Mus musculus: one gene and its partners. The main gene of each other region encodes a partner of the protein of the gene in region 3 in a complex. Links are inferred from orthologs where the notes say so. Each region holds a gene or a part of one and is shown on either strand. Other genes may lie near its edges.

The links.
Region 1: Rbl1 (region 3) and Lin52 share a complex: the UniProt entries of both Homo sapiens proteins name them as parts of the DREAM complex. The link is inferred for Mus musculus from reciprocal best matches to the Homo sapiens genes RBL1 and LIN52.
Region 2: Rbl1 (region 3) and Lin54 share a complex: the UniProt entries of both Homo sapiens proteins name them as parts of the DREAM complex. The link is inferred for Mus musculus from reciprocal best matches to the Homo sapiens genes RBL1 and LIN54.

The regions. Positions count from the first base shown.
Region 1 is NC_000078.6:84,454,384-84,458,036, forward strand, and holds part of Lin52 (protein lin-52 homolog), read left to right. Parts: intron 1-1,857; coding exon 1,858-1,932; intron 1,933-3,565; coding exon 3,566-3,603; intron 3,604-3,653.
Region 2 is NC_000071.6:100,452,053-100,455,705, forward strand, and holds part of Lin54 (protein lin-54 homolog), read right to left. Parts: intron 2,457-3,653; coding exon 2,383-2,456; intron 2,086-2,382; coding exon 1,888-2,085; intron 1,041-1,887; coding exon 949-1,040; intron 292-948; coding exon 220-291; intron 1-219. UniProt on the Homo sapiens protein: Component of the DREAM complex, a multiprotein complex that can both act as a transcription activator or repressor depending on the context. In G0 phase, the complex binds to more than 800 promoters and is required for repression of E2F target genes.
Region 3 is NC_000068.7:157,201,698-157,205,450, reverse strand, and holds the start of Rbl1 (retinoblastoma-like protein 1), read left to right. Parts: upstream 1-916; 5' UTR 917-995; coding exon 996-1,151; intron 1,152-3,753. UniProt on the Homo sapiens protein: Key regulator of entry into cell division. Directly involved in heterochromatin formation by maintaining overall chromatin structure and, in particular, that of constitutive heterochromatin by stabilizing histone methylation.

The DNA of each region.
Region 1 (3,653 bases), on a different chromosome or scaffold from region 3:
GAAGTTGTAGAGAGTAGAGCCAGCACAGTCTGAGATCTGAGTGGAGCAGAGTGAAGGAGGAGTCACTAAGAGGAAACAAGCGCAGCAGTTTCATGAAAGCATCTCATGCTGTGGGAGGTCATAGCAGGGACACATAGAAGTGGGACGGTCTGGCAAAGGGAAGCTTGATAACAGTAGTTTCAATGCACTAGGGACTGAACTAAGAGTTTTATAGGTTAGAGGGTGTAGGTCCTGGGGAGATGATACATTGTAGGTAAGCAGCTAGCTTTGCAAATATGAGGACCTGAGTTGGAAGCCAGGCATGGTTGTACCACCAGCTCTGTGGGTGTGGGGAGGGTATGCCCAGAAACAGCTGGATCCTGAGAGCATGCTGGCCAGCTAGCTTCTTAGTGAGCCACTAATAGACAAAATAAAAACATTTAGCATCCTTTTTGGTGTTTATTGTCATATGCCTATTTGTAGACTTATTACATCCATATATGCATGTGTGCATGCACACACACACACAGAGTGTGAGGTGTGAGAGTAAGGACAACGGGATACCCAGGAGGGAGGCTATGAGTTTAAAGGGAGAGTTTGCATGTTTCTGTGTGTGTCTGCACTCAGACATGCATATGGATACTGGTGCATGTGTGTACATACATGTGGAGACTTGGTTAACATTAAGTATAGTTTCGCTCTTTCTCTCATTTGTTTACTTATTTTTATGAGACAGGGTTTCACTATGTAGCCCTGGCTGTCCTGGGTCTTACTTTGTGTACAGGCTGGCCTCAAACTCAAAGATCTACCTGCTTCTGCCTCCCTTGTGCTGGGATTAAAGTCATTCACCACCATCACACAGCAAAGTGCTCTTTTAATAAGTGAAAAGGGAGATAAATTCTAGATCAGGCTTGCTTGTTGGCTCTGAGTCTAAAATAGAAACTTCTGCTACAAGAAGACTGTCTGAAGTGCTTATTAAAGCTGAAGACAGTGGTCTACAGTCAAGATTATCTTTGTTGAGAGCAGTGACACTTAGCTGACTGTAACTGGAGACAAGTTGAAGAGTGTAGGAAGACAGGTGGGTTTGCTGACACTCTTCTTTACAAGGGGTTTTGCTGTAGTCTGGGCTGGTCTCTCAATGCTCCTGCCTTAGTCTCCCAAATGCTGGGATTATATGTGTCAATCACCATGTCCACCTGATACCCATTTAAAAAAAAGTTTATGTGTATAGGTATTTTGATTGCATGTATTTCTTTGTACTACATGTATGCTAATTGGAATTATGGACAGTTGTTAGCTGCATGAGGTGCTGCGGATTGAACATAGGACCTCTGGAAGAGCAATCCATGCTCTTAACCACTGAGCCCTGATTTACTTACTTACTTACTTTCTTTCTTTCTTTCTTTCTTTCTTTTTTTTTTTTTTTTTTTTTTTTTGGTTTTTCGAGACAGGGATTCTTTGTATAGCCCTGGCTGTCCTGGAGCTCACTTTGTAGACCAGGCTGGCCTTGAACTCAGAAATCCTCCTGCCTCTGCCTCCCGAGTGCTGGGATTAAAGGCGTATGCCACCCCGCCTGGCTGAGCCCTGACTTTCTTTTTCTTTTTCTTTTCTTTTTTTTTTTTTTTGTTTGTTTGTTTGTTTTTTTCTTTTGAGACCTGACTTTCTTAAACACTTATTTTAATAAAGTGGAAGTCTGAGTTTTGATGAGGGAGAATCAAATTTATTTGTATTACATCATGCCCCAATAGGGCTTCAGGGAATCAATAGTTGAGACCTCTGAACTTCTAATTGAGTGTTTCAGGCTATGTTCTTTGAGATTGAAATATAATAAAATGAGAATGAATGCATTTCTCATCCCATCTTGGTGTTTGGTTCTAGGGACGGATTTGGAAGCATCTTTGCTAAGTTTTGAGAAACTTGACCGTGCCTCACCAGATCTCTGGCCAGAACAGCGTGAGTTATGACTTTTCTCATAGTAGAATTGACGCAGGAGAGCCGGCGCTCCCTTGGGAGAATTTTATAGTGTTATCATGGATCTGATGACTAAAATTTTTATTTTGGTTTAAAGAGAAGAGATTGATGTACAGTAAAAATAGGGACTTAGTGGTTTAACTTTTCAGAACATTGCAAGAAGTGATAATGAGCTTTTAAACAAAATTATAGTTTTAAAACGATATATCTGAATTTCAGACAATACTGAGATGCACAAAGCATTTGTTCATCTCCTTTAGTGAAATAGTTAAATATTGTTTGTAATTTTATTACAGACTTGTTTGGACTTTTTTATACGTGTACAGATAAGCATATACATATGTATGTTATGTATTGTCTGCATGTATATCACACAGGAATTTTTGGTTTTCATAGTGATGATGTAATATGTATAGAGCTTTCAGCTTAACTTATTTCAACAGGAAATTTGATGGATCGTTCCATGTTGATCTTTGTAGGTCTGCTTCATTGTTTTATGTATATTACAGTGGACAGGTATATTCTAGCTTCTATATTCACATTCTATTTGGAAACCTAACTTACCTCATTTGTATTTCACAGGCAGTGTATCAGTGAGTATCCTTGCATATCTATCCTGTATGTAGAAGAGGATGACTGCCCATTTTCTCACTAGCCAGTGTCACTCCTCATTGTTATGTTTAACTTGCATTTCTTTTAGGTTAAATTATATTCATTATTGGGCTGAGGGAAGCAGCCACGTGCCATGACGCATGTGTGGAAATCAGAGGACAGCTGGTCCGAGTCAGTTCTGGCCTTTTACCATAAGCCTGAGACTCTACAGTTCAGGTTGTTGGCTTGGTGGCAAGTGCCTCTCTCCACTGAGCCCCAGCTTGTATTTCTTAGTTAACAGAATTGAACATTATTTCCCTCTACCTTTGTATTTTAGCTGCTTTGCTTTTTAATGTGGTAGTATCCATGAGGCATTTGCATAAATAAACCAAACAGGACAACTGAAAAGAATGTTTAGCTTATTTATATTACTTATTTATTAGTAGCCCTGGGGTTCAAACCAAGGTCATGTGCATGCTAGAAAAGCACTCTATCCTTGGTCTAAATCGCTAGCTCTGGAGAGGGGGTTAAAACTGAGGCGAGAGATAGCTTACTGTTCTCAGGCCCAGTCCTGGCCCTTTAAAGCGGGAGGCAGTGGTTTCTCAGAGAAGCTTCTTCCGCCCCTTCGCTCCCATGAGAGCTTATTTGTTTGTTCTTGTCTTCCTGTGACACCTGATGCTTTTCTGAAGTGCTTAAGTGATGCTGATAATATATGCTCTGTCTTTTTCTAGAGTGTAAGCTACTTGAAGGCAAGATTTGGTTTTCAGTTTTTTAGGTTTTTGGTTTGTCCGTTTGTGTTTTGTTCTTTTCAGACAAGGTTTCTTTGTGTAGCCATGGCTGGCCTGGAACTTGCTCTATAGCCCAGAGTGGCCTTGAACTCACAGAGATCCCCCTGTGTCAGCCTCCTGAGTGCTGGGATTAAAGGTGTGCACCACCACCATCACCCAGCATTTCTTTATTATTTAAGTCCTCAGTGCCTAAACACAAATGCTTCCTACATGAGTAACTTTTTTTTCTTTTTTAGTACCAGGTGTCGCTGAATTTGCAGCTTCTTTCAAAAGTGTAAGTAAAACAACTTCTGTCTGTGGAAGTTTATCCAAAGTTTGCTCTTG
Region 2 (3,653 bases), on a different chromosome or scaffold from region 3:
CCCACACCCACCCCCCGTGGTTCAGACAACCTCCAGGGCCCCACCCCCACCCCCCATGACTCAGGCAACCTCCAGCTCACTGTGGAGCAGAGCATCCTCTGGACTCTATTTTCAAGTGTGACAACCACTGGGCTTGTACTTCCATGCCCAACTAGCTTCATTTAATTGTAAGAACATGTGTAGTTGCATCAAATAAGCAGACAGTAATAAACTACTCACAATTTCAAACACAGTGATTTTGTACAGTTACAGGGTTTTCTGGGCCGACTGGTAGACTCTGATGGAATTATGCTGTCCAGACACACATACACACACACACAAAAAAAATCAATTAGTTACTTAAAACTAGTAAAACAACCTCCAATCTATAAATTCTGCCTAACATAAAACATTAATAGATGCTTCCACTTCTGGCAAAACTTTATTAGAATGTCTCCTTTACATTTTAAAAAATATTATCAGCAATTGCTAGGAATACATCACACATCCTCTTCTCTCTGAGAGAACTGAAGCTGAAAAGCTATAAAAGCTCCTGGGGTTTCATCACGAAGAGAGAAGGAAGGAGGAGGAGGTGCGCGAAGAACGGGCAGTGGGACCAAATGGGCTGGTTAACTCAGCACGGGTCACAGACCAACAGAGCAAAGGCAGCCAAGAGCTGCCAAACAATAACATGGAGCCAACACTCAACACGTGAAGAACAGCACTAAACACCGTTTTACAAACATTCACAGCGAGCGGAGAAACACAGAAAAGCTGGCAAAGGACAGGAGGGAATCCATTGCTGATGGTCTCTAAACTTGTCCATTTCAACTATCTCAAAATAGAGTGCTTTAGACAAATGCACAGCTTTAAAGGGAAAAACAAATGGAATATATTTCAAATAAATCTATTTAATGCTGCACTTAAACTGACTTAATAATTCAATTTACATATTTTCAAAATACTCACCCATTGAATGGAAGCCTTGCCTGTGTCTGGATGCCAGATGTTCCAGTAAAATTAGAGTTGCTTGCTATAGACACATATGAAGACTGCTGTAACTATTAGGAAAAAAAAATAAGTTAATATTTGCAAAATTGATAGCACTCTCAGACATAACAATATGTAAGAAGCATGACTACCCAAAGATAAAAAGCAATGGGGAATTTCATATAAACTTGATGGCGTGTTTTTAAAGACCTCAACCAACACTAGTGAAATAGCATGAATGTCTAACAGCATTGAATGGTACAGATATAAAAAGACTACCTCACAAAGGACAATGTCAGGGTTATAGGAAATTCTAGGTGAACATCCTCCAATACCAAAATAACATCTCTCAAGTGAGAAATGCACCGGGCCCACACACAGCTCCTATCCACTCTGCACTGCTATGTGAACTCAGGAAGCATCGTGGTCCCCTGGCTGAGAGCCGTGGTTCTCGCTCACCCTTCCAGCCCCCAAGGCAGAGGCATGGTCAGCTCCATGCTGCCCTATACTAAAGTGTCATCCTGTCTCAAAAAGTCCCCAAGAAATGTACCTTACAAACTACTTTCCAGCACAAGCCAGTAGCATCATATCTGTGTGTGCAGATGAACGTTAGTGTGTGCACAGTCTTTCCTAAAATCACCGGGATTCTGATTTTTAATGTCAACTTTGTAAAATGCTTATCTATAGTCTTGCCCTATCACCAAACTATTCCAAACTACCCAACTTTTAAATCTTATTTCTGCTACATATCTCTAAATTCTAAACAAAAATAAATTCAGATGTTCAATTAATATAACACTTTAGAAAGAGCCATTTTAATACAGAGCTGATGTTTATATTGTACTTAGAACGTGGTAGAGTTAGACACTCTAAGGGCAAACAGCAGCTCCAAAGCATAGGCCCTTCACCCCCACGTACCTGAGTAACATACTGAGCTGGAAGCACTGCATAGCCCACATTCCCTGTTCCTGGAGCTGGTGCCAGCACAGTACCTGGTGGCAGGTTAGTGAGGTTGGGCTGGATCTGAGGCAGTGGTGTGGCAGGCATGATGAGCCGCTGCTGTGGCTGGCTGGTAGTTACAATTTGTGAAGTTGAATTGATTGGTTTTGGAACAACCTTAAAAAAAAAAAAAGAAAATTTGTGACTAAATAATACAAACCATTAATTTTATGGGAGCTTAATCCAGTATACAAATTATTTTCTAGCTTTTCAAAACAGAGTTTCTCTAGATGGCCTTGGCTGTCCTGAAACTGGCTCTGTAGACCAGGCTGGCCAAGTCTGACTCAGAGATCTGCCTGTCTCTGCTTCCCAAGTGCTGGGATTAAATGAATGTGTCACCATGCCCAGCTTCTTATAACTAAAAAGTAAATTGCCCTTTGGGAAAAAAAAATGGAGAAGCTACACAATACTCACTTGCTTAACGGCCTGAGCTTGGACAAATGGAACTGACATCCGTACAGGGGTGGTATTAACAACCACTGGTTTTGCTTTAAAAAAAAATAAATAATAATATTTACAAAAAACAGTACTGAAAACACTTAAGAATCCTTATCCTTCAAGCTATGCTTAGGAACCAGCTTAGAGCATCCCACCTGATTCTCACTTTGCGCATCTTTAATCAAAGACAGTTAGTTACCTTTCTTGAGAGGCAGAGGCAAGATCCATGGATCTCTGTGAGTTGGGAGGCCAGCCTGACTTACATAATGAGTTCCAGGCCTGCCCAGGCTACAATAAAAACCAAACCAAAACAACAACAACAATAAAGAAAAACACCACCAACAACAAAAGGGAGTAGTTACCTGTCACAGTTGTTATTCCCCCCAGCAATATGAATCTGAGGTGAGAAACCCCCCAGGGGAGGGACTATCTGCAGGCTCAAAGCTTCCCACTGAAATCCCTCAACCTGTGCTCAGAGCCGCATACAAAACCGAAAACAAATGCACTGCATTTACAAGTTCAGCTAAGCACACCATTCTGTGCTACTACTTTTACTTTCTGTGTTTTTCTTTACGCTAGAAAAAAGATCATGCTGGAACAACTAGGTATTTAAAAAAGACAGCAGGGCAAAAAGGCTAAGAGTCTGAGTTCTTGAGCTGGGAAGATGGCTCACTCAGCAAGTGCACAGAATTTAATCCCTGAAATTTACGTGGTTGAAGAAAAAAGCCAACTCCCACAACACTGACACACATGCATGTGAACACACCACACATGCACACACACAGACATGCATGTGCACACATGTGCACATACATAACACCCATGAACTTACATATACATGAGCAGTCACATATAGACATGTGCACACACATGCATATACACATGCACATATGAGCATATATGCACATGAACACATACTCACATGAATGCACACACTTACTAATAATGAAAAAGTAAGTTCTAAAGTCAAAAGACCCAGTGGTTCAAGACCCAGCTCTGCCACTTTTAAGTGTGTAGGCTCTTTGCATGTGATGTGAGTAGTAAATTCACTACTGCTATTACTGTAACCCTGCTACTGTATAAATGCTACTAAGGGCAGGGTACCCCAGGAGACTCAAGATTAAAGCTCTTGCTCTCAAGATTATACTCTTGAACAGATTAGGCAAGTACCCAAATAAAAGAAAAAAACAGGTCTTAAAAAAAGACTTCTAGGGCTGCTGAGATGGCTCAGTGGGTAAGAGCACCCG
Region 3 (3,753 bases):
ATAGAAGTTAGGTGTCAGCTTATAGATGTACTGCTCAGTAATGGCCTGAGAAGGTTAAAATTAGACTTAAATGATGAAGAGCAAGGTATGCAAAGATATGCACAATAGCATTTTCACACACGGAGAAAAGCCTCCTGCGACTGAGAACTAGCTTGATATTCCCAAGGTTACGAGTTACCTGGTGCATCTGAATGCTATTATTTTTCTGTATTTTAAAGACAAAAAATGATCTCGTGCAGGATTCTGAGTGAAAACGATCAGGTTCTAGTTTAGGTTTTAAAAACACCTTTCAGGTAAGCGCGAGGACCATCTCTATTCCTGAAACGACTATTTACTGGGACAGTTTCCAGAATCCTGGGAGTGAGGCTGAGACCCGTCACCCCAAACCCTTGTCCCTGCATCCCTTTCTGGCGAGATTTGGGAGTCTCTGACGTGGCGCTTCTACGTGAAGAAGCCACTTTCGGCAGCTCCCGCCTCCACCTCCATCGAGGGTCAAAGCTCAGTGAGAGCGGGCTGGAGGCGCGCCGGGGAGCTGACAAACCTAGGGTCCACAGGACAGTGTCATGGAGAAGGCTTCCCACTAGCGTGAACGGACTCGCAGTCCCAAGTCACCCACACCAGGGAACCCGCGGTGGAGAGCGCGGGGCGCGAGCTACAGTCCCGGCAGCCTCAGCACCGGCTCGGATCCTTCCGCCCCGCTCTCTCACGTCCGTCCCCGCGGCCCGGAGCCCCGCAGCTGCCCACCCAGGGCCCGAGCTAGATCTCCGTTAGAGTCCGAGGTCCATCTTCTTATCCCATTCCGGGAGACGGGCTGCTGCGGGCTCCAGAGGAGAAAGGGACTTTTTGAGAAGAAAAGCGGAGGCAGACGATGAAGGGAAGGCGAGCTCAAGAAGGCGATTTTCGCGCGCTTTGTCGCGGGGGGTTGTGGGTAGCTCGCCGGGAGGGAAAAGAAAACCCCGAAGCCGGTCGCGCCGCCCGTCGGGCCGGAGGGGGATATGTTCGAGGACGAGCCCCACGCCGAGGGGGCGGCGGCGGTCGCCGCGGCCAGGGAGGCGCTGCAGGCCCTGTGCCAGGAACTGAACCTGGACGAGGGAAGCGCGGCCGAAGCCCTGGATGACTTCACGGCCATCCGCGGCAACTACAGCCTAGAGGTGAGCGGCGGCAGGTGGGCGGCGGCCCCGACCCTCGCCAGGCCCCACCCCCGGCCCGCCCCCGCCCCAAGCCTATCGGGCGGTGGGAGTTCCCCACCTACGAGGGTCTCCGAGGAGTGCGGGGAGGGAAGGGTGGGTGTAGCTCGGCCAACCCACCCATTTGGATTGAGGCGGGAAACCGAAGATCGGAAAGTGAGCCGCCGGTTCTGCGGGGGTTCCCTAGGCTCCCAACTTTCAAACTTGATTTCTGCGCGCCGCCCAGTGCCCCAAACGGCGCGGTGCTGCCGTTAAATCGATCAGACCTGATCCCGCGGTAAAATGAATTACTCATCGCTGCTCAGCCCTTTGATTATGTCTTCCCCAACTCGTTTGAAACACCACTGGATCCCCATTCCACAGAGGGAGAAAGTGGGGTCGGTAAGAAGTTAATTTAGCGCCCAAGGTGACGCAGTTTGCCATGCAACCTGGTACAGCAGTTTGAGCCCTTTAACTCCTCCATTCTTCCACCTAATCGAGTGTAGCAGTTAGTTCGTTTATACCATGCACTGTAGTTAGATAGATCAAAGTCAGCACACACAAAGCTCTTCTCAGCCCCACGTTCCTCTCTGCCAGGCCGTTGCTCTAACGATTGATGTGGTATCTGGCTCTGAATAAAATAAATGGTGCTTGTTATCATTATTAGGTATTCCCAGTAACACACACACATATGTTAATGATATATATGTGTGTGTGTGTGTGTGTATACATATATATATATATACCCAGGGGGTATCGAGACAGACTATTTCAGCATCTAACTGAGATGTACAAAAGCTTTCATTATACACATGGGCAGGATTCACATATAGGATTCCTCTGACTCAGACTGCCAGCGAAATAATTGCTGGTCAGGGAGTAGGAAATAGGGAGCAACTGTTGTACACATGTCTATACTCCTATGAGAGAAAAGTACCTGAGACTACACACACACACACACACACACACACACACACACATATATAAAATTTGTCTTTACAGCAGGACAGTGACTACTATACCTGTTTTCTTGGTGGTGTTACAGCTCAACATCCTTTTTTTTTTTTTTAGAGAATTAGAGTCACTCTAATATAGAAACCCAGATTGGTCATAAGCTTAGTGTAGAAGTAGACTTGTATTGGCATGTGTGTGGAATTCATGTCCATGCATTCAGCAGATCAAGAGTCTTTGGGGAAAATTACATTTGTCCTGAGCATGAACAGACTTGTCATTCCACAAACAATGTAATGTTATTTATATAGCATTTACATCAAGTAATCTAGAGATGATCATAGGTTATGTGCAAATGCATTGCCATTTTAAATCAGGGACTTAAACATCCTTGGATTTTGCTATCTTCTGGAGTACAGGAGCCATCCCCCAGGGGGTATGGAGACAGACTATTTCAGCATCTAACTGAGATGTACAAAAGCTTTCATTATACACATGGGCAGGATTCACATATAGGATTCCTCTGACTCAGACTGCCAGCGAAATAATTGCTGGTCAGGGAGTAGGAAATAGGGAGCAACTGTTGTACACGTGTCTATACTCCTATGAGAGAAAAGTACCTGAGACTAACTCACATGTTTTCAGCAAAAGGCAGAATAGACTTAATGAAAGATAGTGATCTACAAAAGAAGGTTCATAACCGGAAAACGGGGAGAATCTGAAAGTATGAGAGAGCTGGAGAGCTGGCCTGGCAGAGAACGTGCTTGCCGAGCCCCTGGATCCCCAGCAGCCACATACAAGGCAGGTGCAGTGGCAGTGTGGGCTGTAACCCAGGGGGGTTACAGGTAATGAGACATGGAAGGGTGAAGACAGGCAAACCCCAGGAGTGCTCTGGCCTGCTCCGGATTCAGTTAGAGACTGTCCTAACAGGCTGAGAATGATAGATGAAGTCACACAACATCTAACTCTGGCCGTCACTCATGCATACATGAATGGGTGAGTGCATGAACATACATGCGCACACACATATGCTATTCAAAGGAAATTTTAATGACATCTCAGTTGAAAAAAATATAAAAAATATATTTTTATATGTATATAATATATACTATATACATGTAATATATACAATACATATATATTATATGTATATATTTTGTTTTGTTTTGTTTTGTTTTTTGACTCCCTGGAAAAGCATTCAGAAACCCCAGGTCTTATTTGATCTCCTCAGATAAGCATGGTTGAATACAATGTGTATCCAAGTCACTGCAACTAGCTGCTTGTTTCAAATTCTTAAGCAAGTTAAACTCAGCCCAGGTTGTGTGCTTTTTTTGCAGGTCACTCTGCCTGGACTATTCACCTGTGACTCCAGAGAATGCTGACGATCTAAATTCTAAATCCATAGTTAGGCAGAGCTGATTGACACTTAATTGTTTGCTTTTAGAAAGCACTCCTTTATGAATTGAGTTTGGAGGATTCTGTCCTGTATTTTGTTTCTTCTTGTTCTTTTTTTCTTCTAGTTGTTGGTGAAAGGCACTTGGAGCAAAGGCAACTTCCTCCCTCTGCTGCCCACTAAGAATCCCTGCCACAGACTCCACCCCCCTCTAACTCCCCACAGGAGCCCTGCTGACCAGCT